4 linked regions of the Rhinolophus ferrumequinum genome follow. The protein of the gene in region 2 purifies or fractionates together with the protein of the main gene of each other region. This does not show direct contact. Links are inferred from orthologs where the notes say so. Each region holds a gene or a part of one and is shown on either strand. Other genes may lie near its edges.

Evidence for each region.
Region 1: the proteins of CTNNB1 (region 2) and HNRNPA1 purify together in Homo sapiens (affinity purification with mass spectrometry; 3 studies listed by BioGRID, with this or other methods). This does not show direct contact. The link is inferred for Rhinolophus ferrumequinum from reciprocal best matches to the Homo sapiens genes CTNNB1 and HNRNPA1.
Region 3: the proteins of CTNNB1 (region 2) and CREBBP purify together in Homo sapiens (affinity purification with western blotting; 10 studies listed by BioGRID and IntAct, with this or other methods). This does not show direct contact. The link is inferred for Rhinolophus ferrumequinum from reciprocal best matches to the Homo sapiens genes CTNNB1 and CREBBP.
Region 4: the proteins of CTNNB1 (region 2) and CDH3 purify together in Homo sapiens (affinity purification with western blotting; 7 studies listed by BioGRID and IntAct, with this or other methods). This does not show direct contact. The link is inferred for Rhinolophus ferrumequinum from reciprocal best matches to the Homo sapiens genes CTNNB1 and CDH3.

Annotation. Positions count from the first base shown.
Region 1 is NC_046293.1:54,025,094-54,032,533, forward strand, and holds the start of HNRNPA1 (heterogeneous nuclear ribonucleoprotein A1), read left to right. Parts: upstream 1-4,263; 5' UTR 4,264-4,406; coding exon 4,407-4,421; intron 4,422-4,965; coding exon 4,966-5,082; intron 5,083-5,379; coding exon 5,380-5,526; intron 5,527-5,654; coding exon 5,655-5,865; intron 5,866-5,962; coding exon 5,963-6,055; intron 6,056-6,139; coding exon 6,140-6,232; intron 6,233-6,520; coding exon 6,521-6,595; intron 6,596-6,809; coding exon 6,810-6,968; intron 6,969-7,440. UniProt on the Homo sapiens protein: Involved in the packaging of pre-mRNA into hnRNP particles, transport of poly(A) mRNA from the nucleus to the cytoplasm and modulation of splice site selection.
Region 2 is NC_046300.1:12,305,441-12,313,148, reverse strand, and holds the start of CTNNB1 (catenin beta-1), read left to right. Parts: upstream 1-4,666; 5' UTR 4,667-4,826; intron 4,827-7,708. UniProt on the Homo sapiens protein: Key downstream component of the canonical Wnt signaling pathway.
Region 3 is NW_022680357.1:5,205,569-5,213,255, reverse strand, and holds the start of CREBBP (CREB-binding protein), read left to right. Parts: upstream 1-4,583; 5' UTR 4,584-5,425; coding exon 5,426-5,510; intron 5,511-7,687. UniProt on the Homo sapiens protein: Acetylates histones, giving a specific tag for transcriptional activation. Mediates acetylation of histone H3 at 'Lys-18' and 'Lys-27' (H3K18ac and H3K27ac, respectively).
Region 4 is NC_046298.1:18,007,234-18,014,797, forward strand, and holds the start of CDH3 (cadherin-3), read left to right. Parts: upstream 1-4,435; 5' UTR 4,436-4,552; intron 4,553-4,727; 5' UTR 4,728-5,006; coding exon 5,007-5,063; intron 5,064-5,268; coding exon 5,269-5,389; intron 5,390-7,564. UniProt on the Homo sapiens protein: Cadherins are calcium-dependent cell adhesion proteins. They preferentially interact with themselves in a homophilic manner in connecting cells; cadherins may thus contribute to the sorting of heterogeneous cell types.

The sequences.
Region 1 (7,440 bases), on a different chromosome or scaffold from region 2:
CTCACACTATAATTTATTACTTTTAAAATCAATATTCACAGCTTTAGGCCCAATTTCATGTCAAGTGAATGGAAATAAAAATAGACCAAGTAAAAGAACAAAAAAGGAAAGAAATGCTTTACCAGGGGTTGTTACATGGGCTATTCTAATAAGATATATAAATCATGCTATGTGGTTAAATAAAATACCTCAATAAAAGCAAAAAACACTAGCCTTCCTCCCAAACCTTTGTACCCTGGATACCTTTTCTAGAACTACTGTCAGGGCTCTAAAACCACCAAAACTTTCCTAGACATATAAAAACCCAGTCACTTCAGAGGATGTTCTTTCTCTTTTGTTCAACCATCACCCTGCTCACCTACCACCCAGATAGAAGCTTTCTACTGATTGGTTTTCAGTGAAGGTGTGTTATTTTCTCTTTCAGGTTTGGCTGCAATAGTATGCCTCTAAGATCTAAGCACAGGTGCTTGAAATTTAATTTTTGTAACTCAGGCTCAACATTTTGTCGTGTTAACAACCAAACCAGGTTCTACAAAGGCAATGAAAAAAGTCTGAAGTTAGACAACGTGATAGTCTCAGAGTTTCAATGAAAAATTACCCACTAAAATTTACCCACCAGAGAAATGTTCATCATGCCTATTATGACATTTTAAGAGAATTCACAGTAAAACAAGCAATTTTTACTTGCACACCACAATAAACCAAGAACTCTATGTTCAAAGCCTGAAATCTTTCAAATGAAAATATATCAGACATCAAATAAGGGTTCACTGATTAATTTGTTTATAAATCCAAGTAGCTGGGGCCAAAGATGGGAGGAATAATCTCACACAGAGAATAATCTAAGGCGGCATAATTTAGTTACCTATTCTTTAGACCAGTTGTTTTTCTTTTTTCACTAAACTGTGGATCTGTACAGAGCTGTGAAATCAGTTCAGCAGAAAATGACCTGTATTTTTAAAAAAAGGAAATAGTGTACTGTAGATGCAAAAATGTCAAGAGTGCTTTGCACATTTATTTGTACAGTGAAACTTGTTTCAATGTGTGTACAGGGTCAATATAAAATATATTTTTTATTAAGGGTCAACATCTAAAAAGGTTTGAGACATTGATCCAAAAGAATCCCAATAAAGGGCGGCCCGGTGGCTCAGGCGGTTAGAGCTCCATGCTCCTAACTCCAAAGGCTGCCAGTTCGATTCCCACATGGGCCAGTGGGCTCTCAACCACAAGGTTGCCAGTTCAATTCCTCCAGTCCCGCAAGGGACGGTGGGCAGCGCCCCCTGCAACTAAGATTGAACACGGCACCTTGAGCTGAGCTGCCGTTGAGCTCCCGAATGACTCGGTTGGAGTGCATCCTCTCAACCACAAGGTTGCCGGTTCGACTCCCACCAGGGATGGTGGACTGCACCCCCTGCAACTAGCAACAGCAACTGGACCTGGAGCTGAGCTGCGCCCTCCACAACTAAGACTGAAAGGAAACAACTTGAAGCTGAAAGGCACACTCCACAACTAAGATTGAAAGGACAACAACTTGACTTGGAAAAAAAAAAAAAGAAAGTCCTGGAAGTACACACTGTTCCCCATAAAGTCCTGTTCCCCTTCTCCAATAAAATCTAAAAAAAAAAGAAAGAAAAAAAAGAATCCCAATAAAGGAAAGAGGCTTAACTCAGGTGAAAATGTAAGAAGCATCTGAGGCAAGTATATCTTTTTAAAAAAACGTATTTGCCATTATTTTAGAAAGCCAAACAGAAGATGCAATCAAACATGTTTAAATAGTAAACACCTTAATGAAATTTTCCTTCTATCCAATGGAACACTATATCTGAAGAGATAATCATTAGGATTTAGTAATCCATTTACTAAAAACCACCTCCTAAACACATCACCACCCATCTTCTCCCTCTAATTTCCAATTGGTAAAAGATTTTGACAAAATAATCAACTCTAGCATGTCAGTTTAGATCAATGGTTTTCAACTGGGGATTATTTTGCCCAAACACCCAACCCCCAGGACATCTGGCAGTGTCAGGAGACATTTTGATTGTCAAAAATGGGGGTGAGAGGTGAGATGCATTTGCAGGAAATGTCAATAGTGCTGAAGTTAAGAAACCCTGTAGATCAAGACTATTCTTTTCAAACCTATATCCTTTTAATTCTTAAAAATTAAGGAGCCGCATTTTGAGCATACCTACAAATACTTTATAAACAACGTGAAATAGGTTTGTCCTTTGGGAAGTGCCAGAGAACATGGAAATCTCTCTGTTCATATCTCAACTAAAATCACCTTTTATAAGTCAGAAATGTTCTCTAACCATAAGGATACTTCATATGCAATTGAACTCACGGCAGTATTCAAAGATTTTTTTCCCTTGACTCTAAATAAATACATCAGTGAGTAAAGCAGTATATATTCTGATACAGCCAAAATGTAATGAAAATTTCTGTATTTTAGTAAAAATCTTGGAATAAGCAGAATGGGCATTACCAACAGGGAATGGACTGCATCTAAAAATAAACACTTTTAAGGAAATATAATCAAAAGGCAATGAACTAACCCAGGTGATGGATGAGCCCTTCTGTCCCCAACACCCTAAATCAACAGACTTTAATTTTAATCACAAATTATTATTATCCCTGCAAAGATTTAAACATTAGAGATCTAATCTGCCTCAATGCCACTGTATTCCTGGGGGTAACACACTTTGGTCTGTAGCTTTCCAAAACTTTTTCTATGGACTTACAAATATCGAGTTGTATGTGGAAATATGTATTATTACGTAGATATTCCTCAGGCACCTTTTCAAGACAGTACAATCTCTATTTGTTCTAACATTTCAAGTCGGTCTTCCTAAAGAAGCTAGTTCTCAAAGTCAAAAGACCTTCTTCCTTGCTCCCCCCAAAACCTATGGTGGATGGTGGGATGTACTGATGTGTGTGTGTTGGAGGGGGCGGGGGGATGCCCAACTCGACGTACACAGGAGCAAACGTATCGTTTCCATACCAGGGAGGCTTATGCGATGGAGGCCTAAAGGCTTCGTTAGAAAAGTCATAGTGGATAAAATATCCATCCCGAAGCGCCATCACAGGCATTGAATCCCTTTCCTCATCAACACAAATCCAGCACCTCCGTCTTTTGGAGCGCTGATTGGACGACCCGGGAGAGCGCTCTCAGTAGGTTGTCCTCCTACTGGCTCCAGATTTGGTCCATCCATTTTACCGCCCAACTCCCGCATTTCCCATTGGAGTCAAACCGCTGCCTCTTAGAGGAGCCCAACCTACCGCGCGCTTCGTGCTCATTGGCTTAGTGAGACGCTGCTCAGAAGGGGAAAACCCGCCTCCCACATTCCGATGGCCCAAGGACCGATCAGTCGGCAGCTAAAGGCAGACCCAATTGGCCTATACACTCGCCAGTCAAACTCTTAGACGGCAAAGCTCCACAGAACTTACAGGGATAAAACATCCCGCCCCTGTTCTTCCATTGGTTGGCCGGACCCACCGCTCCCCCTCCGCTAGCCCCCACCCCGCGGTCCATTCATTTCACACAATAACGGGCCCATTTGGAGTCGGTTCAAGACCTCGTATGGGTAGGCAAGACTGTCCGCCACTTACCCGGGATCGAGACCGATCACTCACGCTAATGTCTTCCCTGTTCTTCTGTGGTGAGGCCGGACCACAAGCCACAGCTGCCGCCGCCTTCTGCGCAACGCCAACCGCCCGCCAAAACGGATCCTTCCCTGCGCCTGCGCGACCAATCCTGGGACCAGACCTTTTTCTCCGCCCATTACGCCTGCGCAAAACGAGGCACAACTCCCGCCACAACGCAGGCGCTGTAGGTTCGCCGCCGTCTCCCGCCCGCCATTTCACGTGTTCCAAGAGTCAAGCGGAACTTCTTATTGCGCCTGCGTAAACTCGCCATTTTACTACACATGCGCTCAGCAGGCGGTTGTTGCAAACAATAAAATTAATATGCTATTTTTTAATACACTGCATTAATCATAAATTGACAACTGAATAGAATGTAATATTCGGGGCGTGGAGAGCCAAAAAGTTATTCAAATACCTTCAGGATGTTCAAATATGAATGATTGGTTGGCTAGCCAATCACACTAGTCAGGAGTAACATTACACGGGAACCAATGGACTCCAAGGGGTGGAGACTACGTAGAACGCCCAAACGGATGACGTTACACAGCAATGCGGCACCACAGTCCAATAGTAGCAGGAAGCTATTTCAAATATCCAGTCAGAGCTACTCAGGGGCGGAGTCTACCAATGCCGTAAGCGAGGAGGCGGGATAAAACAGCGAGGCCGAAGGTAGGCTGGCAGATACGTTCGTTAGATCACTCCTTTCTGTCGGTGGACGCCGCCGAGTAAGCATCGTTAAAGTCACCCCTCCCGCGGTCGTCATGTCTAAGTCAGAGGTAAGATGCTCTGTCCAACTTAATTTTCTTCCTCGCTCCTTTCTGAGTTGGGTTGGATGCGGCCTGGATTGGTTGTTTGCGCCAGCCCATTCGGCAGTTCTTCGGTCACTGCCAGGGCCTACCCCTCCCGAAGTTCAGGTCGCCATTTTGTCCTCGTCGTCGCCATGAGGCCGCCGTTCTGCAACCCTTAGTTATCACGCCGGGTTTGGTCCTCCTGGTAAAACTCTTAGGCACAGTGAACGATTTTTATCTCGTCTCAGTGGGCGAGTTTTTTTTTTTTTAAGCAGCTGTGGTCCCTTATTGGCGATGCACTCCTCCCGCCCAGACCTTTTGTTGGCGCGTGCGTCGGAGGGATTGTAGGGGCGCATGCGCTCGCCGTTTCCCAGCCCCCAACATAGAGCCTCCCCAATGGGGAGAAGCACGTGGCTTGCTGCGACCCTCTGGAACAATAAGTGCTATGTACGTTGCTGTCTCGTTTCTCTTAATTGGAAGATGTTTTGCGATACAGACCGACATAACGCTTTCCCTCCCCCCCCACTCTTAGTCTCCCAAAGAGCCTGAACAGCTGCGGAAGCTCTTCATCGGAGGTTTGAGCTTTGAAACAACCGATGAGAGTCTGAGGAGCCATTTTGAGCAATGGGGAACGCTCACAGACTGTGTGGTAAGACCTGGAAGAGACAAAAGAGCACTGGAACTAGTTGATTTCATTGGCTTATCTTGTTATACTTACTGTCCGAATGCTTTTGAAGATTGCTAACAGGATTATAGTTGGAAGTAACTTGGCAAGGGAAGGTGAGGCTTTAACTGATTAAGATGTAAATAGATTTGTTAGATGGGTAAGATTAAGTTGAAGGGCTTTGTATGAGGGCTAGTATAAAGTTTCCTGCTACCTTATCCAAGGTAGAAATGACAGTAGTTCTTGGAGTCTTAATATGTGTTAAATGAATTAATATCTCAGGTGATGAGAGACCCAAACACCAAACGCTCCAGAGGCTTTGGGTTTGTCACCTATGCCACTGTGGAGGAGGTGGACGCAGCCATGAATGCAAGGCCACACAAGGTGGATGGAAGAGTTGTGGAACCAAAGAGGGCTGTCTCAAGAGAAGTAAGTGTTTTTTCTTTCCGTTAGTCATATAGAAGTGTGCTACTAGGTGGATGTTACGTTCAGGGATGTTGGCAAACTTTAATACTGATTTTGCTGATGTAAGTCACTTAATTGGATTTTTCCTTTAGGATTCTCAAAGACCTGGTGCCCACTTAACTGTGAAAAAGATTTTTGTCGGTGGTATTAAAGAAGACACTGAAGAGCATCACCTAAGAGATTATTTTGAACAGTATGGGAAAATTGAAGTGATAGAAATCATGACTGACCGAGGCAGTGGCAAGAAGAGAGGCTTTGCTTTTGTAACCTTTGATGACCATGACTCTGTAGACAAGATTGTCAGTGAGTATCAGATGACTGGTATTTACCAAGGGGTTTGAAATCCATATCTTTCTCTAAACCCTGAGAATTGTCCCTTTTCATTGTTGAAATTTTTTAGTTCAGAAATACCATACTGTGAATGGCCACAACTGTGAAGTAAGGAAAGCCCTATCTAAACAAGAGATGGCTAGTGCTTCATCCAGTCAAAGAGGTGGGTTTGTTGCTTTTAGTTAAACCTTAAATAAAGGTAACTGAGCAATTACAATCTGTGGTTTAACACTTATCTCTTCTTAAGGTCGAAGTGGTTCTGGAAACTTCGGTGGTGGTCGAGGAGGTGGCTTTGGTGGGAATGACAACTTTGGTCGTGGAGGAAACTTCAGTGGTCGAGGTACATGTGGTTCTGCTTTATTGGGAATTAAGGGTAAGCTTGTGATGTAATTACCTGCCTGACTTGTGCTTTTTACAACCTGCAGCTCTATGTAACTACTGACTGGCATTTCTAAAGTTACAGTTTTATCCAAATGTAGTTCTGGTTTCTGCTAATCAGAAGTTAAAATCTTTGGTGTGGAAATCATTTTAGTAGTACAGGAACTGCTCCCTGAAGTAGACTTGAAAGGCTATAATTATATGTGATGCACGTACTCCGAACCTGCTTTAAAACTCCACTTTCTTCCAGGTGGCTTTGGAGGCAGTCGTGGAGGAGGAGGATATGGTGGCAGTGGGGATGGCTATAATGGATTTGGTAATGATGGTACGTTTGTGTGGTTTTTGTTTCTTTAGGAATACATGGGTGGAAAGTTTGTGGTAACCTATAGTCTATACTAGGTTAGTAGAGACTAAAACTAGTGCATGACAAGCTGAACTCTGACTATAACAGCATGTGACCAGGCTGTTACCCATTATGCTTAAACAGATTTTGATTGTTGAATACTTTTGTCTTATTGAGAAGAATTGTATTCTTGTAGGTGGTTATGGAGGAGGCGGCCCTGGTTACTCTGGAGGAAGCAGAGGCTATGGAAGTGGTGGACAGGGTTATGGAAACCAGGGCAGTGGCTATGGCGGGAGTGGCAGCTATGACAGCTATAACAACGGAGGAGGCGGAGGCGGCTTTGGCGGTGGTAGTGGTAGGTATCCAGTGATCCAGGTACTTGGTGCAGTAGCTAGATTAGCCTTGTAGAATTTGTGCCCGTATGGGGATTTGGTGCTCTTAAAGCATTATGTGGTACGCTGCATGGTATTTTTTAATGGACTTGCTGTGCTACCTCCTCCTGGCTTTAAGCTGGGGCCGCCTCACTCCCAAATAGATGAATAAATGGATAGTGGCATCTTCAGCTGGAATCAGATTAGCTTCTAGCAGCATTTAGTATCTTTGGGACTTTAGGCACTTAGTTGATGTATCCAGCATGTTTGCAGTGCCCCTGAATGGGTAAAGGCCTTCAAAGGCTAGAGAATGTTCTGTGTCGTGGTGAGTTGGGTAAATTTTTTAAAATACTGGATTATTCAACTGAATGCCTTGCCAAGAAAGGATGAAATACAATCAAGCATTGGAGCCATCAGTTTGGGAGGAAGGCAGGCAGGTCATGTGACTTCCACTCT
Region 2 (7,708 bases):
AATAATAAGATGGGGGAAAGGAGGCATACAAAGAGTAGGTTTTTCATTGTTTGTAAAATATAAACACAGATGAATTCTGTCTTTGGTTTGTTCATGCTTTTCACTCTGCACAGCAGGGATGTTCTTAAGAACTTGCCCTCTGCGAAATTTCACTAAATGGGAACCGTGGACCCTGCATGATGGGATTATAATCACACCGGCCACTCCTTTTACATAATTTTTTGTTTAAGATCCAGTAAGACTCCCTGTTTTTAATATATATAAAGCAATAGACATGCCTAGGTCGATAAACTGAGGGTTTGCGTCCCTAGTGCCTAGTGCCAGCTAAGACAAAAAACGGTGATATCACATCTACAAATCTCAATGGATTCAAAAACAATATGAAAATTTTGAGCTGACAAGAACATGTCTGCTGCCTGCAGTCCCTGCAACTAGCTCACCATGTTGCCTACTAACCGAAAGATCAAAAATTATCGATTTCATGGCGCTTCGTGCTCTGGAAAGAAAAGCTACTTTAAAATTTGCATTGTTTAAGAAATGAGTTAAAAGAAAAGAATCATTTTTTTTTCCTGAACACTTTGGAATGTGAAAAATGGCTTGTTCTAATCTTATTCATGAATTACTATAATTCTATTATTTTTAGCAGCTGGAGTCCAGAAATGATTTTTTCGATGAATTTAGGATTTTGCCGCAGTATCCATCTGCAGTCCCAGAATCCTCGGGTAAGTTAATCCTTCTTTCGATGGGAAACGCCTTTAACCTTCTTGTGAATGAAATATCTGCAACCATTTTGAAATTTTTAATAGAGGTGTGTGTGTGTGTGTGTGTGTGTTGTATGTTGGGGGGGTTATATCTCCAAAGCATAATTTCTACGCAATACAGCCGTACTTATCTTAGTTCTTAGAAACACTGACAAAACATACACCTTTGTGCTCTTTGATTATAGTGGATGATGTGTCCATTGCTTCTCCTTCACTTTCTGTGGTAGCCATTAAAATGTACTCCCTTAGTCTGGCAAGGACTGTTGTGTCAAACCAATGAAGGCCTGGAGAACACATAACCCCCAGCATGAAGAGTGTTCCTGGCATAACTGAAGCGGCCAGGAATATCACCACCACTGCTGCTGCCACCGCCACCACCAAGGCCATCGCCTCCCACCAACTTCACCGCCCCTCCCTTGGTCTGCAGTGCACACCAGATGCAAGCTTTCCACAGTAGCTCTCTGCCGAATTTGCCCAGTAGGTTCCTAGATTACTCCTGTGTGCGAGAATAGCCAACCATGTAGTCTGACAAGAAGTATTTACAACTACTTAGCCTGTTCAGCTGGAAAGAAATCAAGAGATAACAGTGAACCCTGAGATGATGTATTGCAAATCAAAAAGTTCCAATCCATAAATAGCCCACTCGGTGAACTGCTAAATGAAAAGCTGATCTTGACTACTGTCCAGTGTTTTCAGGTTGTCAAAAGAAATATTTTTAACAGGCATTCTTAGAGAGTTAGGATTTATTGTTCATAAATGCATGGAGTATTACTTAGTCTTACCTTTCTGCTGGGAGAGGATTCTTCCCAGAGAGATTCGGATATAGAGTCCAGAGGCCACACCCTCCTTTCACTGTTTTCTACTGTTTCTGTTGACTCTCAAGTAAGGTTGATTAACAATTACAATTTTATATTACTTTAAGGGACCTAATCAAAAGGAGCCAGTCATCCATCTCCCTCTAAAGGGAGCTTATTGTCTTAGTGCTCAATAAATGTTTAATGAATAGATTTGATAGAGTTAACTGTGCAGAAAGTGAACGGGTCTTCTTTAAAGTGCTGCCCGGATTAATGTTTCTGTCGGAAGTGCAAAAACAATCTGGGCATTTATTTCTTTGCCTAAAGGTGATTCAAAAGATGGGTGTTAGTGAAGGAGGATGCTTTGTATTCAGAGTCCATGTAGTCACTGCTTGATGTGCCAATGGTCTGATATTATGGCAAGTAATGCCTCCTCTTTTAAACCAGCTGAAGACACTTCTGGTTTCTAGGAATACAGCCTGAAATTTAGAACCATTTGTCTTTTGCAGTTTTACAAAATGAACTAACTTATGTCAAACCCAAGTGGTTGGCTCTAGGAGGAAAATGTGTACAAGGATAATCAAGTATTTTTCACAAAACGTATTGCCCAAGGTTAATTTTTAAGAATCGTTGTTTTACAAAATCACTTATTTCACCAACTCATCAGGTATTTTGTTGTATTTCTCATTGGTTTAATGATGGCATTTGTCTTCATTTCACAGAAGTTATTCATCTCATATTTTTGGTCAGACAATTGAAACAATTTGTTTTTTGAGATAAGTAAATACAAATTCTCAGTAATTTGTTAAATTCAACTAATTTTTTTTAATGCTAGTCACCCAGTAATTCTTCAGTACACTTAAATTTGATGGGAAAAACAGCTTGCTGCATTGTTGCAAATTTTATATTTCCTTTGATACTGTGTGTTTGCTTAAAGTATTACTAGGGACTTAAAAATCTTAATTCTAAATTTAGGTTAAGACATCTAAATTATAGAAAAGTCCTTCAATTACTTTGGCACCTGAATAGAGAAATATGAATATAGAGTTTTTATTCTGTAGGTGTTCTAATAGTGCAAATATTTCTTAAACAGTTTTAACAGTGTGCCTTATTTAGCAAAAAAACAAAAACCAAGAAACTGAACACAGAAAAAGGGAACATCTGTACAAAAAAAAAAAAAATCTTTCAATATTGATTAATCAGTCATCTGATTTTAAATGTATGGCTAATCAAATCAACTGTATATTCCCTAATTCTGTGTACGAGAATTAAAATTGGGGATTAGTACCTGGAAATGCTATTTACACTTTCGAAAACGTTTATATTAGAAACATTGCTTTGATGAAATACCTTTTTCTGCTCAATCTGTTTTAATTATGAGCAGCCCGGTTAACCACAACCATTTGCAACACTTCCACAGAATTACTAGCAAAGATACAAATGTAAAAGTCGTTCTAGACAATGGATCTCAACGAACATCATCTCAGTCAGTATGTGGATTTTATCCACTGCAGTGGCCCACATGTGCTATGGTGATAGCAGCTGACATTACCACTGTATATAGGAACATATCTTTAAGACATTATATATATATATATTTTATATATATATATTATATATATATATATTTTATATATATATATATATATATAATATATATATATATAAAGAACCTGTTGGGCCCTGAAGCATTAGCTATGCCTAAAACTACATGTCCCACTCCATGAGTGAATGAGGAAGTGGGTTTCCTGCCTGTACCTACTATAAAGACCTATTGTTTGCATGCATTAATTACAGGGATAAAAGCCTCAAGATAACTTTCACTGTTGCTTTTTGTACTCTCTCCATCGTTTTGGAGAAAAATAAGCATAAAACGACAGGCTAGAGAAAGTGAATCGATCATAATTGTTTCAGCTTTGACAAACGCCAATCTTGCTGGATTACAATGGAGACATTTCCAAGGGAAATCAAGACCAACTTCAGCCTATTAAAACGAATTAGAAAATGTTTTTGAAGGATAGAAAATTAGTTTTAAAAAATGAGAAGCTGCCTAATCGGTATAGCTCCTTCCATTCACAACATACTTGGACCTCTCAAATAAGTAATACCATAGAAATGCATCTTCTCCAACCTCCCCCACCCCGCAAAAAAAAAAAAAATTGTTGATACTTAGTAGCACGGTGGACCCACATAAAAGCGGAATCTATAAGAATTAACCTAATTGACAGGGCTGTACACTTAGCCCATTTCCATCCGTCATTTGTTCACAGTAGGTACTCATAACGACTTGTTGAATTACGGGGCCAGGCGCCCATTCTAACGAAGAGTTCCCAGCCTTCAGGAGTGGGGGTAGCAGGCGGCTCCGCCCGGTACTTCACTTCCAGATTCAGGCTGAGCCGACGGGTGGGATGCGGGACCCACGATCCGGACACTGGGGGGCTTGGGGGTGGTGTGCAGCTCCGCTGGGAGCCATGCCCTTCAGGGAGTGTGTGGCCCTCCCGCAACGGCGGCGGAAGCCCTAACCCGCCCGAGTCCCCCAACCGACCGCGGTGCGGAGGCGGCGCCCAGAAGCGCCAGTGGCCCCACGGGCCGCGACCTCAGCGCCCGCGCCTCCGCCACTGAGTCCCGAACTTCCGCCCTCCCAGGACTTGTGCGGGCTGCTCCGCGCGGCCCCCGAGCGCCGGGGCCGAGATGCCGCCACCCGCGGGCGGCAGAAAGCGTGCGGCAAGCCCCGCGTCGGGTCTCACGGCTCGGGGCACGCGCGGGGCGGGGGCGTCCGGTTCGGGACAGTGGAGGATCCCGGTGCCTCCTCCCTCCAGCCCACCCCGAACTACGGCGCCCCCGCGGGCCGCCCTCCGGTCCCGCACGGCGGGGCAGCGGTGAGGCTCCATCCCCGACCGCGTCCCGGGAGCGCGAGGGCGCCCCGCCCGGGCCCCGGGCGTTGGGACGGCGCCCGGCGGCTCCGCGGCGCGGGGACTACTTTCCGCGTCCTCCCGCGCCCCGCCCCTTGTCCTCGCGCGGCGGAACGCTCCGCGCTGCGCCGCTGGCGGCAGGATACAGCGGCTCCTGCGCGACTTATAAGAGGTCCTTGTGCGGCGCCATTTTAAGCCTCTCGGTCTGTGGCAGCCGCGTTATCCCGTCTCCGAGAGCGGAGAGCGAGGGGAGGCGGAGACGGAGGACGGTGCGAGGAGCAGCTCCAGTCCCCGCCGAGCCGCCACCGCAGGCCGAGGACGGTCGGACTCCCGCGGCGGGAGCAGCCTGTTCCCCTGAGGTGCTTGGGCGCTCCCTTCCTTACCCTTCCGGGCTGCTCCCGCTCCCTCTTCGGAGCCAAACTTCGTCGAGGGCGCGCGATCGCGGCGGCGGCTGAGAGCCGGGCTCGGCGCAGCCCCGGAGGCCCGGAGCGGGGAGCTGGGGGCGCCGGGGAGACGGCGGGGGCGGGCTGCACCCGGGGGCGGAGGGCGGCGGCCGGGCCCGGGTTTCGGTCACCCTGCTTCTCGGGGGTTTTGGGGGCGCCGCTGGCGGGGAGGGGGCGCCGCGAGGGCGCGTCCAAGAGCTGGGATGGCTGGCGTGGGGGGCGGCGGGACTCTGGTTTCCGTCAGGGGCTCCGGCCGCGGCCGAGTTTGGGGGAGGGACCCTGCGCCTCGGGATGCGCCGGGGCCGGGGTGGGGGGCGGGGTGGGGACGGGGGCTCCGCCTTCCCAGCGGGGAGTTGGGGTACGGGCGCCGGGCCTGGGACACCACCCTGGGTCCCCTCTGCCGTGGGGATAGGGCTAGTGGACTTTCTCTCCAGATTCCCTCCCTCGTCCTTAAGGAAAATTCTTAAGAGAATTGTTAGTATTTTTTTTTTCCACGCTCCGCCTGAGTTTGGCACTGGCGCTTGTTTCAATCGAAGCAACTTTAAACCTTAGAGGAACCAAACTAGCAGTGCAAACGGTGCGATGCGTCAGTAGGATTTGCACACAGGAGATCCGTGTCTTGCACCTATGTTTTCTTGTGCCGTGCAGGTGAGTGAAGCGTCGTGCGGTGCCCCGGGAGTTGCAATGGATGGCATCGGGCGTGAGACCCCAGTCAGAATGCGGGCTGGGGCGCCTGCCTTCCTGTTTCTGACCAGTTAAGGCGCGGGGTGCAGCCCCCGACTGCTTCGAGGATCTCGTTCGGAGGAATTATTTATTCCCCTAGTTTTATGGCAGCGAAACTTGATTTTTAGAGCACGTTTGCTTTTCAGCGGCGTGAATGTTTCCCTCGCTACGAAACGGGCCGAGGGAAATTCAGGCGTTGCAACTTCTTGCATTGTTTTGCCTGGGGAAGAGGACTCGAACGGAGACTTTGGAAGTTTCTCGCAGCCCTCTTCTGAATCCGCTAAACTGGAAGGCTTTGGCAGGTGGGGGTAGTTGTTCCCTTCGTTTTCTGTTCCCTTTTGGAGGGAGTATTGTCTCCTAGTTTGTATCTTTCAGACATCTGTGGCCTGCCCCCCACCCGCCCCCCGGTTGTGAGTGGTGAATGAAGAGAGACCGGCCTGCTGGTATGCAGAGGTCGGCAAAAGGAAATCGAGGAGTGGTTTTCGTGAAATGAGAGCTTTGTGTCATGAATAGTGGTGGCTTAGACTAGACATCAACTTGAAGAGACGGCTATCCTTTGATGAAGTCTAGGCTAATGTTTTTCGGATGGCTAAGTTACTAAGTATTTTGTCTGGAATTTAGGAAGCCGTTTCATTATTGCCTCTCGGTAAACATTCAACACCCTCATATGTCTTCGTGTTAACTAGTCCTCATTCTAGGAAATGTTAGACATAGCTTAAAATGTTATTTGCATAATGCTACTACGGTTTAGTATCTGCTTAAATTAGTGACATAAACGTATTTTGGAGATTTTTTTTGTTTTTTTTTTTTTGTCTGACCTAAGGTTGCTGCTGCATTTACTTTACTTTTACATTTAAAACCACAAAGTCTCTGGATTAAAAAAAGAGGAACAATAAAGTGCATTTGATAATATCCTTCCACAAAATTTGATTAATTTGCCCCCGATATTCATTACTTTGACCTAGTCTTTGTTCTGAAGGCCACGTCCAAGGGCAAGGCCCTAAAGTGATTGCAAAAGTAACTTGAAAAACTTGCAGAAGGCTATTCTATAGGATTAAAGGAATGTTGAGACTATTTAAGTCTGAGGTCCTTGAGGGGGAAATAAAAAACTGTACTAGAAAGTTTAGAGTAGCATGTAATTTAGAGTCCCAGGCCTGAGATTCTCCCAGAGGCCAGAATAGTCATTTTAAATAGCTTTCAGGAAAAACCAAGTTTTTAAAAATGTGGCTCATGAAAAAATGAGGCATTTAACAGTGTTCGCGTGTCAAGAAGCATTCAAGAGTGTTCTTTCTTTTGGACTAATTATCGGACTGCTTCCTTTACCAAGGTTATTAGGTAGAAAAATGTATATTCCAGTATTAAAACTTAAGAAACTATGAATTGAGCTTCCAACTGTTACCTAGTGATGACTGGAATAAAAATTGTTCATATAAATGAAGTCTGTTTTCATAAATAGTTCCCTCCTCCTCCTCAGCAAGTTTCTCTAAACGTATTTTGAGATGTGGTGCTTAAGAAAACTAGCTTCATACATCCTTTTCTTGGTTGTTGGGAGGAGTGGGAAGAGGAGTGTTAAGTCTTGCTGAAACTAGAGATGTGAACAATTCAAAAGTTTGACTATCACTCTAAGTTACAAGCAGCAGTGAAATGAAAACCCCATAAATGGGCTACATAGTATGTTCAGCCTACTGAAACTTTTGTTATTGAAACAGTACATCTGTCCATGATTTTGTTTCTCTCATGGTTTACTAATTGCTGATAATCATTGTAGATGAGTAGGTGGTAAATTTTAAGTTTGTACTTTGAGCTTGGTTGGAAGCCTGCTTGATTGCTAACCCACGGCAGAAAGGATGAATGCTTTTAGAGCAGGACAAATGTCTAATAAAAAGTGTTGGCAACCCTTTTGTAGGGCTACATGTTGACTTCTGACATTGTTTTTGAAAACATTAGTTGTATTAACTTGGTTGTTTCCTTGTAGCCCTCTTTTTATTGGTAATACAATATCTTTTGTTGAAATAGGTTGATTAAAAAACATTTTTATGCCATAAAAGTAAATATTAAACATAGACGAGGAGCTG
Region 3 (7,687 bases), on a different chromosome or scaffold from region 2:
GTCTATGTATTATTTTCTACTTGTTTGGAACTTTTCTTTTTTTTTCTTTTTTTTTAATTAAAGTTTATTGGGGTGACAATTGTTAGTAAAGTTACATAGATTTCAGGTATACAATTCTGTATTACATTATCTATAAATCACATTGTGTGTTCATCACCCAGAATGAAATTTTTCGTGAGAAAAAATCAAAACCGTGAATGGTAGCAAAGGAAGCAAGTTGGCCCCTCCTTACCTCATTCTCTTGGCCCCTAAGCATTCTGTAAGTGGGGTTCCTTGGTCCTGTAGCCTCTGGGATTGACTAGAGAGGGTGAGGTCTGTGGTATAGACAACTTGGTCAAGCAGTTTGTCTGGGAATGGAAGAGATGGAGCCGTGTAAGGGTTCCCTGTGGAGGGTAATAAACCCTCCAGAGGAGTCATTGGGGGAGGGGGTAAAGGTTCTGGACAGGGGAGGTGGGAAGGTAGGCCACAGAAGAGAGGGGTGTGTTCCTGGGACGGGGAGAACGTGAGGAGGAGCTGGTGTGGGAAGAGGGTTGTGGCCTCTGTGTGCAGCCCACTGGGTGTGAGGTGTCCACTGGGGTCCAAAGCAGGAGGCAGCTGATTGTGCAACTGGAGTGTGGGGGGAAAGCCTCTCCTCTTCAGTTTCCTCTTTTTCTAGTTCAGTCTGTGAATCTCGGTCTTCGTTTACTGTGTGCCAGTTCATCCCTCAGCCCCCAGTTGGGAAATCCCAGTCACATCAAATCTACCCCTCCTGGAGCCTTCCTCCTGGCACCACCGTGCCGATCTCTGTGTGCTCCACCAGCTGGCCCCTTGACTTGTTTCCCTCTGTTGGGAGCCCCTGCCTCCCTCCGTCATTCCTGGTCTCTCTTCCTTCTTTCTAAATTGATATGTTAAAAACAAGCTTTATTGAGTTATAATTCACATACCATACAATCCACCCATTCAAAGTGTAAATTTCGATGGTTTTTGGTATGTTCAGAGTTGTTCAACTATCATCATCATTAATTTTAGAACATTTCATCACCCCAATATCCTTTAGCTACTACCATCCACTATCTCCCCTCTCTCCTCAGCCCCTGCCCCCACCGCCGCCCCCGCAACCACTACTTTACCTTCTGTCTCTGTGAATTTGCCTATTCTGGACATTTCATATAAATGGAAACATATAATATATGGTCTTTGGTGACTGGCATCTTTCACTGAGCATAACGTTTTCAAGGTTCATTCAGGTTGTAGCCTGTGTCAGTGCTTCATTCCTTGTATGCCTGAATACTATTCCATTGTGTGGATGTAACACAGTATGTGTATCCATTCATCGGCTGAGGGATTCAAATGGACTTCTCTCAGGAAATCTTTCCTGATTGATTTCTACCTTCTGTTCCTCTGCTGGCCCCTCCTCACCTCATTCTCTTGGCCCCTAAGCATTCTGTAAGTGGGGTTCCTTGGTCCTGTAGCCTCTGGGATTGACTAGAGAGGGTGAGGTCTGTGGAAAGAGCAGGCAGCCTTAGGTTTGCAATCCAGTTGAGCCTAGGGTTTCCGGGTGGAAATTCCCGCCCATTCTCATGAAATTTTTTCACTTGCCCGTTCCCAAATCCCGAGAAAAGTTGGTCGGGAAATCGGGAAAATCGGCTCCTTGAACCCAGCTGGTTGGTAGTATTGGCTGTCACTTTGTGGAAAGGATTCATCATGGAGAACAGAAAACAGTTTATATCTTGGGATTCGGGAACGGGAAAATGAAAAAAACTCCTGAGAACGGGCAGGAATTCCTGCCTGGAAACCCTAGTTGAGCTTCTTAGTAACTGAGTGACTTGCCCTCCTCTGTGCTTTATTTCCTCATCTATAAAATGAAGACAATGATATTTCCTTCCAGGATTGTGGGAAGTGCTGATCCAAGTGCAGCATGTCGCAAAGTGGCCTGACATACAGAAGGGACTCAACAGTGTTGGGTCCCTTTTATCTATGTTGACCTTGATCCCCAGCTAAGGATGTGCAGGCAGACAGCTAACTTCCTTGCTATTCCCCTATCAATTCTGAGCACAACGTTTTTGGAAGAGTCAAAACAAGGGGAGAAGAAATAGGAAAGAAAAAGCAGATGTCAGGAAATACCAGAGGAATTGATCAAAATGATACAAATGAGACATGTTTTAATGTTGAACGTGGTCAGGGAGGAGCATGTGATTGGAGTTTGAAGACCTGTGTTTCTGCCTTGGCTCTGACATATCCAGGCCATTTACCTCTGGGTCATTTGAACTGGGTCTCCTCAGTTTCCCTCTCTGTAAAATGGGGCACGACCTGTGTCATAGTTGCCCACGGATGGGGGTATGCTGCAAGTTCATGTGCACATGGCTGTGTAAATAATTTACTGAGGGACCCTGAGGGCCAGGTGGTAACCCTACTGAACCAAGGTAGACCCTGACTGAGGCTTCTCAGTGACCTGACGTGTTGTCTCCTCTGTGGGGTTGTGGCCTGGAACTGCCTCGGGCTGGAGCCCACCTTTCTCAGGAGCCTGGAGGCCTCTAGGACTCAGGGGGCACTGAAAGCCTTGGGGAGTCAGGGGACCTGACAGTGTTTATTCATTTTCATTCACTCATTCACTCATTCATTCATTCATTCATTCATGTTACAAACCTACTTCTTGGAGGGCACTGTACATAGTAAGACATGGCCCTTTCTCTCAAAGGGCCCGCAGACTCATCATGAGAGGGACACACATGGTACATTCAGGTATAGGATGCTGCCAGCCCTATGTTACTCTGTGACTCGATACACTTCCTGCCTGGCTCTGCAAATTGACTTCTTACATACTTCTGTTTATGGTTTCCAAGGCTTGCTACTTGGCATCCTTGAATATATAGGGATTCCTTTCTTTCTTCTTTACCCAAACGATTAGCCCAACGGCAGTGACCTCAGGAGTTTCTCAGGGATATTTGATGGATAAATAAAACATGAATGGATAAAAAAAATAATGACATACTGTGGGATGTGTCCTCATAGAGGTATGCCCAGAGTGCTGTGGGAGTCTTTAGGTGGGCTAGGAGGGCTTCCTGGAGTAGGTAACATTTGAACTGGGTCTTGGAGGGTGAGTTAGAGTTTGCCAGACATATATATTCTCAGCACAGGGAACAGTATTTGCAAAAATACATAAAGGCCTGAATGATGAGAACTTCCTAATGGCTGAGCAGGTGAAGGGACGTGATGGCGGAATGAGGGATGGAAAGTGGAAGGGACAGAAGCAAGGGGTGGGGGCAGTACAAGATTTTGAGCAATATAAATAGAAAAAAGTAGATCATTCAGTCTTGACACTGGAAGACAATCTCTTTTGGTACACATATTTTAAACAGACTATACACATGTTCTTTTTTTATTTTTTAAAGACTATATATATAGTTTTTGTGTGTGTGTTTTGTTTTTCCCTATGTGTAGGAGTTATTTATTTTAAACAGAGTTCTTTCCGTTTTTTTCCAGGAAGTTAACTCTGGTGCTGCGTGGGGAGAAATGTAGAGCGCAAGGGACGTTTAACTGGGAAGCTGCCACCCGGGCGATGCTGAACGACTCTGGGACAGTGGGATGGGGAGGAAGAGCCGTTTCCCCAGGTAAAGGACGTGGGCAGACTGGCTGCACGGTGGGTGGAGAGAGAGAGGGAGGAGTCTGAGTTGACTCACAGGTTTCTGGCTTAGGAAACAGGGTTGCTGGTGATACCTTTCAGATAAGGACTTCGGGATGAGGCGCCAGGCAAGTCGGAGGAACAGATAAAACTGGGATGCAAACCTTAGATTTTTGTGGAACTGTCCCGCGGGGAGTGGCTATACTAGCCGGACCCCACACCTGTCTGGATCTCCTGCGGAGTTCCCAGGGCCCAAGCCCGGATGTAAGGGGCCATTTGGGCCTGGCACAGGCTGGCCGCGCCCCAGCCCAGGGTAGGAACAGCGCTCACCACCTTCCCTTGTAGGTGAGGAGTCGGCCCCTGGGACCCCGTCGCATTGGGCTGGGGAGCAGGGGCTCAGGAGTTTTGCGTCCCCTTCATTTTACTTTGACAGCGGAAGTTCGAATCCCGGCCCTGCCACTTCCTGCCTCAGTTTCCCCATTTGCACAAGCTCGCAGGCGGACCTAGGGCGGTCTGTAACCTGTAGAGGCCACGACAGATCGCTGGCATCCGGCAAGGGGAAGTGACCAGGCTTGGCTCGTGTCGCCCTGGACATCGCGGGCAGGGAAGTGAGGAGCCGGGACCCGGCAGAGTCGCCCCAGAGGGACGGACAGGCCCGGCCGGTGCCGACTCTGCGCCTGGGGTCCGGTCCGCGGCCAGGCGGGGCCCGGCAGCCCAATCGCGGTCAGAACAAAAGTGTCCGCCGGGCCCGGCGTCCGTGGTCCCGTAGGCCCGGCCGCCGCCCCGCCGCGCAACACACCGCAGCCGCGCCTTCGGCCCTACTACCCGAGCTCGCTCGGCTCTTTCCGCCGGGCCGGCGCAGGTGGAGGGGGCGGGGCGGGGGCCGTGCGTGGTGACGCCGCGGGGGGGTGACGCACCGGCGTGCCCCGCCCCCTCCCCCTCCCCGTTCAGGCTCTGGAAAGAGAAGAAAAAAAACTTTCTTTTTTTTTTAATTGAGGAATCAACAGCCGCCATCTTGTCGCGGACCCGACCGGGGCTTCGAGCGCGATCTACTCGGCCCCGCCGGTCCCGGGCCCCACAACCGCCCGCGCACCCCGCTCCGCCCGGCCGGCCCGCTCCGCCCGGCCCTCGGCGCCCGCTCCGGCGGCCCCGCTCGCTTCTCGGCTCGGCCTCCCGGAGCCGCGGCGGCGGCGGCGGCGGCGGCGGCGGCGGCAGCGGCGGCGGCGGCGGCGGAACGGGGGGTGGGGGGGCCGTGGCGGCGGCGGCGGCGGCGGCCCCGCTTCGCGCATTGTTTTTTCTTACGGCGGCGGCGGCGGCGGCAGCGGCGGGCCGCGGGCAGAGAGCGGAGCCCGGAGCCCCCCGGTCGTCGGGCCGCGAGCGAATTAATTAAGTGGGGCGCGGGGGGGGGGGAGTGAGGCGGCGGCGCGGCGGCGGCACCATGTTCCCGGGGACTGCCTGAGCCGGCCAGCCGGGCGCCGTCGCTACCAGCCGGGCCCGTGGGGGCGGCCGGGCCGCCGGGGCGCCCCCGCCGCGGAGTGTCGCGCTCGGGAGGCGGGCAGGGGATGAGGGGGCCGCGGCCGGCGGCGGCAGCGGCCGGGGGCGGGCGGTGAGCGCTGCGGGGCGCTGTTGCTGTGGCTGAGATTTGGCCGCCGCCTCCCCCACCCGGCCCTGCGCCCTCCCTCTCCCTCGGCGCTCGCTCGCGGCTCGCCGCTCGCGCTCGCTGCTCTCCCTTCGTAGCCGGCTGGGGCCGGCGCCGACCCCCGCTCCGGAGCACTCGCTGGTCCCGCCGCCCGCGTTCGGGGCTGTTTCAGCGAGCAGGTGAAAATGGCCGAGAACTTGCTGGACGGACCGCCCAACCCCAAAAGAGCCAAACTCAGCTCGCCCGGCTTCTCGGCTAATGACAGCACAGGTGAGGAGGGGGCTGAGCGGGGGTGGGAGCCCCGGGGGTCGCTGTCAGATCCCCCCGAAGGTGAGTGTCCTCCGGAGAGCCGAACTCGTTGGCGGGCGTGCGGAGCTCCCCGAAGTGGAGGCCGGCGCAGCCCCTTCCCCGAGAGCTCCGCCAGAGACGGGAAGTTTTTAGGAAGACTGTCGTGGAACCCGAGTTGGGCCTCACATGCCCGGGTGTACTCGGGTTCCCCGGAGTTGGTGGACCTTTCTCGCGTGGAAACCGAGTGGTACTTCCAGGGAGAAAAAGTAAAGAGGAGATTGTTTGTTTTGCGTGGTGATTCCATACTCCTCCCTCTGCCGCCGTGTGTCGACACACGCGTGGCTGTCTGGAGGGATGACAGCAAAGGGTAAGTTTGACGGATAGAGAAGCAAATAGTGCCGCCGAAAGGGGACCCCAAGTGTTTTCTGAATTGGTGACACATTCGCAACGCTGTGACCAGAAGACACTCAGCAACAGCCAGATTATGAGTTACGACTTAGAAGTTTCTTGGAATGTGCTCTGTGCTCTTTGGGAGCACATTAGTAGTTATCTTGAAAACTCTCGTTGTTTGGTCAACCGAGTCATTCCATTTTCCACAATCCCAAACTTTGTTAGCAGGATGTTCTAAAAGTTACTGTGGTGTGTTTAATTTCACATGTATAACCTTAAAAAAAAGTTAAATAGATTCATTTGGGCTGCAATCGCCATTTGAGCTCGTGTTACTTTTACAGTGTAGATGTATGAAAAATATTAGGGAACACAGGAATTACGGTTTTTCAAAAACAATTCTTTTAGCAGGATACTGAATAAATCTTTTTCTCATTAAGCAGCTTCCTGTAAACTTCCTTAGGTAATCATTATCAATTGCCTAAGAGAAATATTTTAGTTTTCTATTCATTTAATAATTCTGGGTTCTTCTGGGCTGGTTCATGGTAGCATTATGAACTAGTTGTATTTCCTCTTTTAGAGCTCTCCTTGGCAGTAAGAACTTGTCGCCTCTGGGAACAGTTCTGTCTCCGGGCGCAGCTTGCATTTTTCCAGTACGGCTTTGCAGTAGCAGCATCTGAAAATCAGTTTATAATGAATGAGTCCAAATTGAATTAGATTTGCTGCAGCAATGCCTTCAGATTTGCAGTAGACACAGCTGTTCAGCTTCTGCAAATATTTTTGTGACTGACCACTAGCACATTTCTACTCGTGGTCTAAAAATCTATTTCTGCTATTGAAACAGAGCTTGAATTTTATGGCTTTGGTTTTAATACAATTCCTAGAATATTCGTTAATGTAGAAGTGAGAGAAACAATTTACGTAAAAATCTATCAAGGAGATTGTTGTTTAATTAAAATGAAATTCGTTCTACAGTGGGAAAGAGTAAATAAGTGTCATGGGATATGAAAGTTACTAATACTCTTTTAAGAACTAATAAAGAGTTGAGTTTGATTTTAGTCTTGTAAAATCGCCTTACCTGAAGTGAGAAATGTGGAAACAACTGTGATTTAAATGCTCTTTTACTGCAGATCTCCTTTGCTTCATTAATCTTGCCTTTTTTGAGTGAAAAGTCTTTAATCATATGAAAAGTAGATCATACCAGGCAAGTTCAGCTTTGAAGCTTGTCTCTGAAACTGGTAACTTTTTGGATGGCTTTGCAACTTTGCTACTGTTGAATGAGGTTATTGCAGATTTTGTTTTATACAGAGGAACAAATTAACACAAGACTTAACAAAAAGGTTGATCTACTACTGTGTTTCCCCGAAAATAAGACTTGGCCAGACAATCAGCTGTAATGTGTCTTTTGGAGCAAAAATTAATGTAAGACCGGGTCTTATAGTAAAATAAGACAGATCTTAAATTATTTTTTGCCTCAAAGGATGCATTAGAGCTGATTTTCCAGCTAAGTCTTGTTTTAGGGGAAACACAGTATATACATCTTGCTGTTTCCAAGATGGAGCCCAAAGGATGGCCTTTTGGGTAGTTCCGTTGTTGAATGGTCAGATACTTAATGTGCTGCTAAGTACATCAAAGTTTATCCAAAAGGATTTTCCATTCTTGCCCACTTTTTCCCCCTTCCTTTTCAATTTTGATACTCGTAAGTTATGGGGGGCTCTTTTACTTTTTGAAATGTGGAACGAAAAAGTCAGTTTTTAATAGATCTGAATTAA
Region 4 (7,564 bases), on a different chromosome or scaffold from region 2:
CAGTTTGCTGAGATGGAAAGATTGCAGAAGGAGCAGGTTTGTTGGGGAAGGTCAGGAGTTCAGTTTGGGATAATTCTCACCATGACCCATCAGTAGGAATTACTAACTCTAGAGGGCTCAGAGAAATTAAACAACTCACCCCAGGTCACCCAGGCAGTTGTTTTCAGAGGAAAGATTCAGACTCAGGTCTGCCGGCCCTAACTTCGATGCCATGGGGCCTTCTCCTGGTTGGGTGCTGTGTGGAAATCTGGAGAAATTGTTTTCTGATAGTCCTGATCCATGACCCCAAAGAGAGAGGAAAGGGTTAGTGGAGAGTGAGGCAGGAAGACATCAGAAAAAAGTGAGGATGCCAGGGATTCCACAGGGCTGTCAGTAGCATGTGTTTAAATGTGAGATGCAGACAAAGAAAACAGGGAAGGTGCAATTCTTTTTGAAAGAGCCAAAAGACTGAAAGAGTCCTAGCCCTGTTCGGGTGGAGTGTGTCAGGGACAGTATGAATGTTCTCACTGCGGAAGAAGGCTATGCTCTGTTGGAGTTGGGAAGGCCCTGAGCAAGTCTTCCTCCACAGATTGTCCCCAGATTCGATGCTTTCTCATCATGGCAAAGCTATCTCCCCGGATTCCAAGAAGCCGACCCTGAGACAAGGATTCATGTGCTTTATTAAGGAATGACTTATTAACAAGGGCCTCTCACGAGTAGGAGAAGCAGGATAAAGAGGGCAAGAAGCTGAGGAAGGGTGTGGTTTCAGAGCAAGTCCCTGGAGGAAAGCTTCAGTCTGACCCTGCAGGACACAGTGGGTGTAAGTTACCACTGGGAGTTTGTCTGGGAGAAGGGAGCTGGGCTTCCACACTCCTGTACCAGTTGGTCATTGGCTAATGGTCTGGGAAGTGAACTCCTGGGCACTTCCTTGCAAGGGCAAAGGCACCCCAATAGCAGGAGGACAGGGCTCTGAAGAGATTCACAAGTGCCAACTGCCAGGGACATCAGCACATAGAAGCCAAGGGAAAGAAGCTCAGAAATAATTAAAGGAATCCCAGGGGATCTTAGTGGTGTCCTGATCCACTACCATGTATCTTCCCCGTCTCAGGAAATGGCGGTGCCATCCTGGTGGTTGCTCAGGCCCCAAACCCTGTAGTCATCCCTGACCCTCTCTGTCTCTCACACCCTTTAGCCAATCTTGTGGTCAGTACCTTCAAAATATACCCAGCATTTGATCGCTTCCTTTTTTTTTTTTCAGGAATTTTTAAAATTGTGGTAAAATACACAAAACATACAGTTCAGTGTCATTAAGTACATTCACATTGTTGTGCAGCCATGACCCATCCTCAGAACTCTTCATCTTGCCAAACTGAAAGTCTGTACCTATTAAACATTTTGTTTCTCCATTCATCGGTCGATGAATGGAGACCGAAGCAACTTGGGTTGCTTCCACCTCTTGCCTATTGCGAAGAATGCTGCTGTGAACATGGATGTACAAAAATCTGTTCAAGTCCCTGCTTTCAGTTGTTTTGGGTATATACACAGAAGTGGACTTTCTGGATCATGTGGCAATCCTATTTTTAATTATTTTAGTAACTGCCATAGTATTTTCCATATAGTGGTTGCACCATTTTATATCCCCATCAACAGTGCACGTGTTCCAATTTCTCCACATCCTTGCCAACACTTGTTATTTTCTGTTTTTTCTTTTTTTTTTTTTTTTAATAACCTCATCATCTCTTACCCCTTCCACAATAACCATCCTGAACCAAGCCATTTCAGTTTTTGCCTGGATGACTGCAGTAGAATCCCAACCCATCTCCCTGCTTCTGCCCTCATCCCCTGTAGTCTTCTCAATATTACTCCTCTGTACACAACCTCCAGTGCCTTCCTCCCTTCCCACTCAAAGCCAAACTTTGTAAAAGCCAGAGTTCTTAACAATGGCCTGTGAGGCTCTCCAAGATTAGCTCCCCACTTTCCCAATTCTGACTCATTTCCTGCTTGCTAGATCTACTATAGCCACACTGGCTTTTTTTTCTGTTCCAAATAATCTATCCAGTGCCTTGGGGTCTTTGCCCTGTTTTTTACCTGGAATACTCTTTCTTCAGGTATCCTTAGGGTAACTTGTTCCTTTACTTCCTTCAGGTTTTGTTCCAATGTCCATTTCTCACTGAGACCTCTGGGCTTCCTGATTGCTCATCTGCCCCGAGCCGTTTTCTGCCTTTCTCCACCAGGTGCTGTGCCTGGGGAGAATGATTGCTATAGGACCCACCACCTGGGCTGTCTTGCCTTCAAGCTTCTGGATGGGTTTGGTCCATGGGAGGCGCGGCCAGGAGATGAAGGGCAAAAGGAAAGAGATGTTTGGGTTATTTTTTTCCCTATGTCCCCTATATCCTCCCTGCTCTGCTCTGGGCAGGGTCCTATCTCTCTTGGACCACAGCTGCCTTTGGGAGGAATAGCCCTCATTCTCCAGCTCTTCCCTAACCCCCCCACTCCCAATGACACCATTTCCTCCCTTTGCCCTTAAGTCCTTAGAGTTGTAATGCTTTTCTGCTGTGGCTCAGTACCCGTTGGTTCCCTGAACCCTCATCATTCCTCTCGCTGCTTGACTAAGTTAACTTGAATCCCTCCTCCTCTCCACGCTGGATTCTGTCTCCTGCTAGACCCTTACTGAAACACCTTCTAGATCACTTTATTTGCAATTTCAACCCTATCTTCTGCCCTGTGAATTGGCACGTCACATTCTGTCCTTATTCTTCTACACGGCAGATATTATCTAACATAATATATATTTACTTGTTTATTTTCCTCGATCCCCCACACTCTCAGGGATGGAAGGCCCAAGGGTGCAGGGATGTTCGTTCACGATTGTATCTCCGGTGCTTGGCGCATAGCAGGCAAATATTGAATGAATGAATGGATGGATGAACGATCGGCAAGGGAGCTGCGGAGAAGACAACAGTGTGGTCCAAGTTGCAGGCAGGAGAGCTGACTCTCAATTTCTCCTTTCCTCTCCCCGCCTCCGCCCGGAATGCTGAGTGCCCTGGAAGGAGGCGGAAATGAGCGCGCTCCAACAGCCCTCCAGCCGGGTGTTTACTTAATTAGGACCTGTATCCCGAGGCTCGTTTGTGTTTAACTGTCCGCTTAATGGCTTCATCTGGCTCCTGGCGGGCGAAGGGGAACCTGCGAAGCGAGATAGGCGGAACTATGGGGTACATTCTGGGACCTGCCCCGTCACGTTGTGCCCTTGCGCGGGGTTTCTAACCTCCCCTCTCGCACGGAAATCGCCCCCTGCGGGAGAGCGAGGCGAGGGAGGCGCGGAGTTGAGCAAGCTGTCTCCAATATTTCTGCGCTTTGTCTACCCCCAACTCCCAACCCCCACCTGCGGAACCACAGGCCGGATAACCGGGCGCTGTGGTGATACCAGATGCCAATTACTTGCTATACCATGAGCCGTGAAATTGAAGAATTACAGCGTTTCTCATTCTCTTAGTCGGGCGGGGGGGGGGGGTGCTGCAGTGGAGAGAAACGGCTCGCGAGGCGGAGGAAGACAAATGAGCCGGGTACTAAAGCAACACCAGTAAACATTTGGGCACTTGCTCTGTACCAGGTACTGAGTTGAGGGTTTTAGACGTGTTAATTTAATCCTCGTCTGTATGTATTAATTCATTTAATCCTAGTACTTCAGATGGCAGATGTCACACAATAGCCTCGTTTGTTACATGCAGCACTGCAGTTCAGAGGGGTTATTTCACTTGGCCTAGGCCACAGCGCTAATAAGTGGTGCAACCCTGGTTGGAACAGAGGCAGTGCGCCCCAGAGCCGATGCTCGGTTAGACAGAGGACTCCCTGCGTCGCAGCGCAATCTGTCCTACTGTCGGCCACAAGCCTGGTGATGGGAAGGACAGGCAGGCCACCCGGTTAGCCCTTGAGGGCCAAAGGATCTATAATTAGAGACTTTAGTCTCCTAAATCAGAGCTGGGGAGGGGCCTCAGGGGAAAAGAGAGCCTGCAGAGTGGAGCGATTGAGTATAGGGACAGTTTCTGCGCCGAGGGCCCACTTGTGTGTTGCGAAGAGAAAAGCACTTCAGGTCCCCCGCATGTCTCCCAGGAAGGGGGAAGGTGAGTTGTGTTCAGGGAGGCTCACGGGAAGGCTGCTTGCTTTGCGCAGTTGTTACTTAGATTATATTCAGTATTTCAGACCAATAAAAAGCCGCGTCTTAAAAAGTGCCTTTAAATTGAGAAAGTGTTATTTATGTTTTATGGGGGGGGGGGTTGTTGCTGGAGATTATGGGGCTAATAATCACTCCTCTACCTCGCGCCCTTTGGCGCCACCACGGCTTCCGAACTCTGAGAACTTCTCTCCCAGCCTCCATTTGTCCGGCTGTGCAAGAGAAGTAATGCGTCTTCTGCAAGTTACAGCAGATTTTGTAGCGCGGTCCCTCGCGACTTAACTGCGTTTTAAACCCTCGGAGTCCTCGGAGCGGGCTGGCGTGGGAGGTGGAGAAAGGCAGGCGGCAGACCTTGCTGCAGCCGGGCATGGGGCGGACAACCCGCCTCCATCAAAGCTTTGGGTAACAGTGTCTGGGGGTAGGGGGGGCATGAGTGGGGCGCCTGTTTCCGTTCAGGTTCAAATGCCTCTCCCTTTTTTTCCCGCTATAGCCACAAAACACAGCAACACTTTTCTTCGCGTGCTGCGGAGGCTCAGGGGTGGGGTGTACTTTTCTTTGCTGTTTTTCTCGAACCTAGAACCTGCGAGACGCGGAGTTCCTGACAGGAGCAGTTCGGGAAAAGCCGAGAGAACACAGGAAGGTGGACTAGAGGCGCTTCGCGGGTGCCTGGACAACGCCAGCCGCGGCCCCACCTGCGAAGGGGCGGGACCTTACGGCGCTGGACCAATCAGCACCTACCTGCGCTCACCTGGCCTCCTCCCGCCGGTTCCCGAGAGCTGCGGTGCTCAAACGGGCGCGGAGAGCCTACTGGAGCGCTAGCCCGTGGTAGCGGTAGCTTCTTCACCTCTCTCCAGCCATGGGGCTCTCTAGTGGAACTCTCGCGTCCCTCCTCCGCCTCTTCCTCCTACTCCAGGTACCCCACTGCCTCTCCTAGCCCGGGCCGGGACACTCCCAGGAGGGCGGGCGGGGTCCGCATGCGGCGGTGTCGTCCGGGAGAGCGCGGGGCTAGGCTCCTTGAGGCCACAGTAGCCTGAGAAGCTCCGTAAGTAATCCTGGGATGGGTATACAGTGCCGGGAACGCCTGTAACCCAACCTCCCTCTTCCCTGCCTTCCCTCAGGCGCAGATTTGCTGGCTGCCATGCGCGGCTTCCGAGCCGTGTGGGACGGGCTTCGGGGGAGCTGAAGTGACCTTGGAGGCGGGAGGCGCGGAGCTGGAGCCGAGCCAGGCGCCGGGGAAAGGTAAGACCCTCCGGTAGCCCACCCGGTGCAACCGCAGGCTGCGGGGCGGGTGGTCTGCTTCGGTGTGGCTCGCACGAGGTGTGTACAGGCTGGGGCTGAGGACTTAGGGCGCCCCCTCAGGTATGGGGGAGGCGCAGAAAGCATCTCGGGGGCTGGGATGGGGTGGGCGTCTGACCGCGAACGCCGAACAGTGTAGCGCCCTCTGACGTCCAGCCCCTCTTTGCCCGGCTGCGGCGGCTTACCTTGACCCCCTCCTCCGGGGTGCGGGGCAGCTGAGCTTCTCACCCAACCGGGGTGTGGGAGGTTTTTCCCCGCTGGCCTCAGCGGAGGAATGCGAGGTCCACATTCTTCCCCCAGCCCCCGCGCAGGTGTGGGGATGAGTCTTGCCCCGGGCAGCCCCCTTCGCCCCTCTCGGGCCCCCTTTGTGTACCTTGCTTTGTGTCTCCGACAGACAGACCGGGTCTGTTTCTCTTCTTCGCGCTCCCCTCCCCCGCCCCCCTTCTTCCCCGGCAGCTGGAATGCACTCTTAACCCTGCCCTTCCCGGAGGGTCTGCGCCCCTGCAGCCTGCCTGGAAACTGGGTCCGGCACACCTGGGCTGGGGCCATCACGCACTGGGCACCCACTTCTCCTCTTCCTCAGTTGTTTTCGGAGTGGTATGTTAGGGCACTTGGGGGAGTGGGGGTCCCAAGCAAGAAGGTCTTGAGCTGCGGGAGAAGTGGATGGGAGATCAAAGCACATATTTGATCTCCATTTACTTGTTTATCTCCCCTCTAGTTCAAAAACTTGAAAGGGGGTCACTTTGGTGCGGAGAACCAGTGTGTTATGAGACCCAGGCAGCTGCCTGCTGATGGGGGCCTCTTTCCCTCCACGCAGGACTGTGTGTGTGGGGGGGGAGGTCTTCCACTGGACCAAACCCAAGTTCTTAAACAGAGATGTAACTCAGTATCCTTGGGTGGGGTTCCAAAGGTTTCTTAAGCTGTAAAATTGTTTAAGAACATTTTTCTGGAGAGGGGATCTACAGTTTACCTGGCTTTCAAAACAATTAAGAAAGTTATCACCAAGCATTTTTCTCAGCCCCCATCAGCATACCGCTGACCCCAGGTACAAATTCCCACAGCTTGCTGGTACCTAGAGGAATCGAAGGGCTCTCTCTCCTTTGTTTCTCTGAAAGAAGACTGGGGACCATGAGCCTGTAGCCATTTTCTTCTTTCCCAAATAACTCTGCAGATTGACAAAAACAATTAACACCCAGGTTAGGCCAGGCTCCTTAAACTCTTGGCTGTAGGGAGAGGAGAGGCATTAGGAGGCCATGCCTCATAAACTTTAAATTCTTGTGCATGGGTTTATTACTGACTGGCTAACAAACTGCAGCTCAGCCAACCTGTAAAAATGTTAACTTGGGCCGGGCCCCAAATCCAATTCCGGCTCCCTGAGGAAGCTTTATTGCTAACCAGAGCTCTGCCAAAACTGTAGCCCTCCCCCTCATTGTCAAGTTCTCTGACTATAGTCTTGGAGAGTAAGCTGTGGCTTTGAGTGTTGTCTGTGCTTTATCTTTCTTACTGAAGCAAGAAATATCAGATTAACTGTCACTTCACTAAGCTTGAGGTTGTTGAGGGGAAGCGGTGATCAGGTTTTCGATTTCATGGTCCGGTTGGCAAGTGCTTCCAGGTGACGTCAGGCATTTTAAACCTTTTGAGAAAATTCTGCTTTCTCGGATGTCTGGTTTATGGTTGTGAAAAGGGTGGGTTCATGCCAGGAGCACACCTGGGTTATAAAACAAAGGGTGGGTTCATGTGCTTGGCTAACCTTGAGCCTCCATGCAACATGACTGGTTCTTAGAGCAGTCTTCCCTTGAAGTAGGCCGCTGCCATTTTTAAATAAAAGCAAGTTTCTGGGCTCACTGGGTCCCAATAAATGTTGGGATCCCCCAACAGAAATGCTGATATTTCTCCCCTTAGTCAAGTCAGCTGCCAACATCTTTCTATCTCCCTACCTCCACCCCCCACTTACTCCCCCAGTACACAGGATGGATCCAGCCCTGTTGAAAGGTTATCCTGAGGGGATGTACAAACTCTCAAGTTTGGCCAAGCAGAAAACAGTTTCCATATTACCAAGGAACAACTGCCCCTGTTGTTCTCCCCTGGGTTATGAATATCACAGGTGTCTATGAAGTT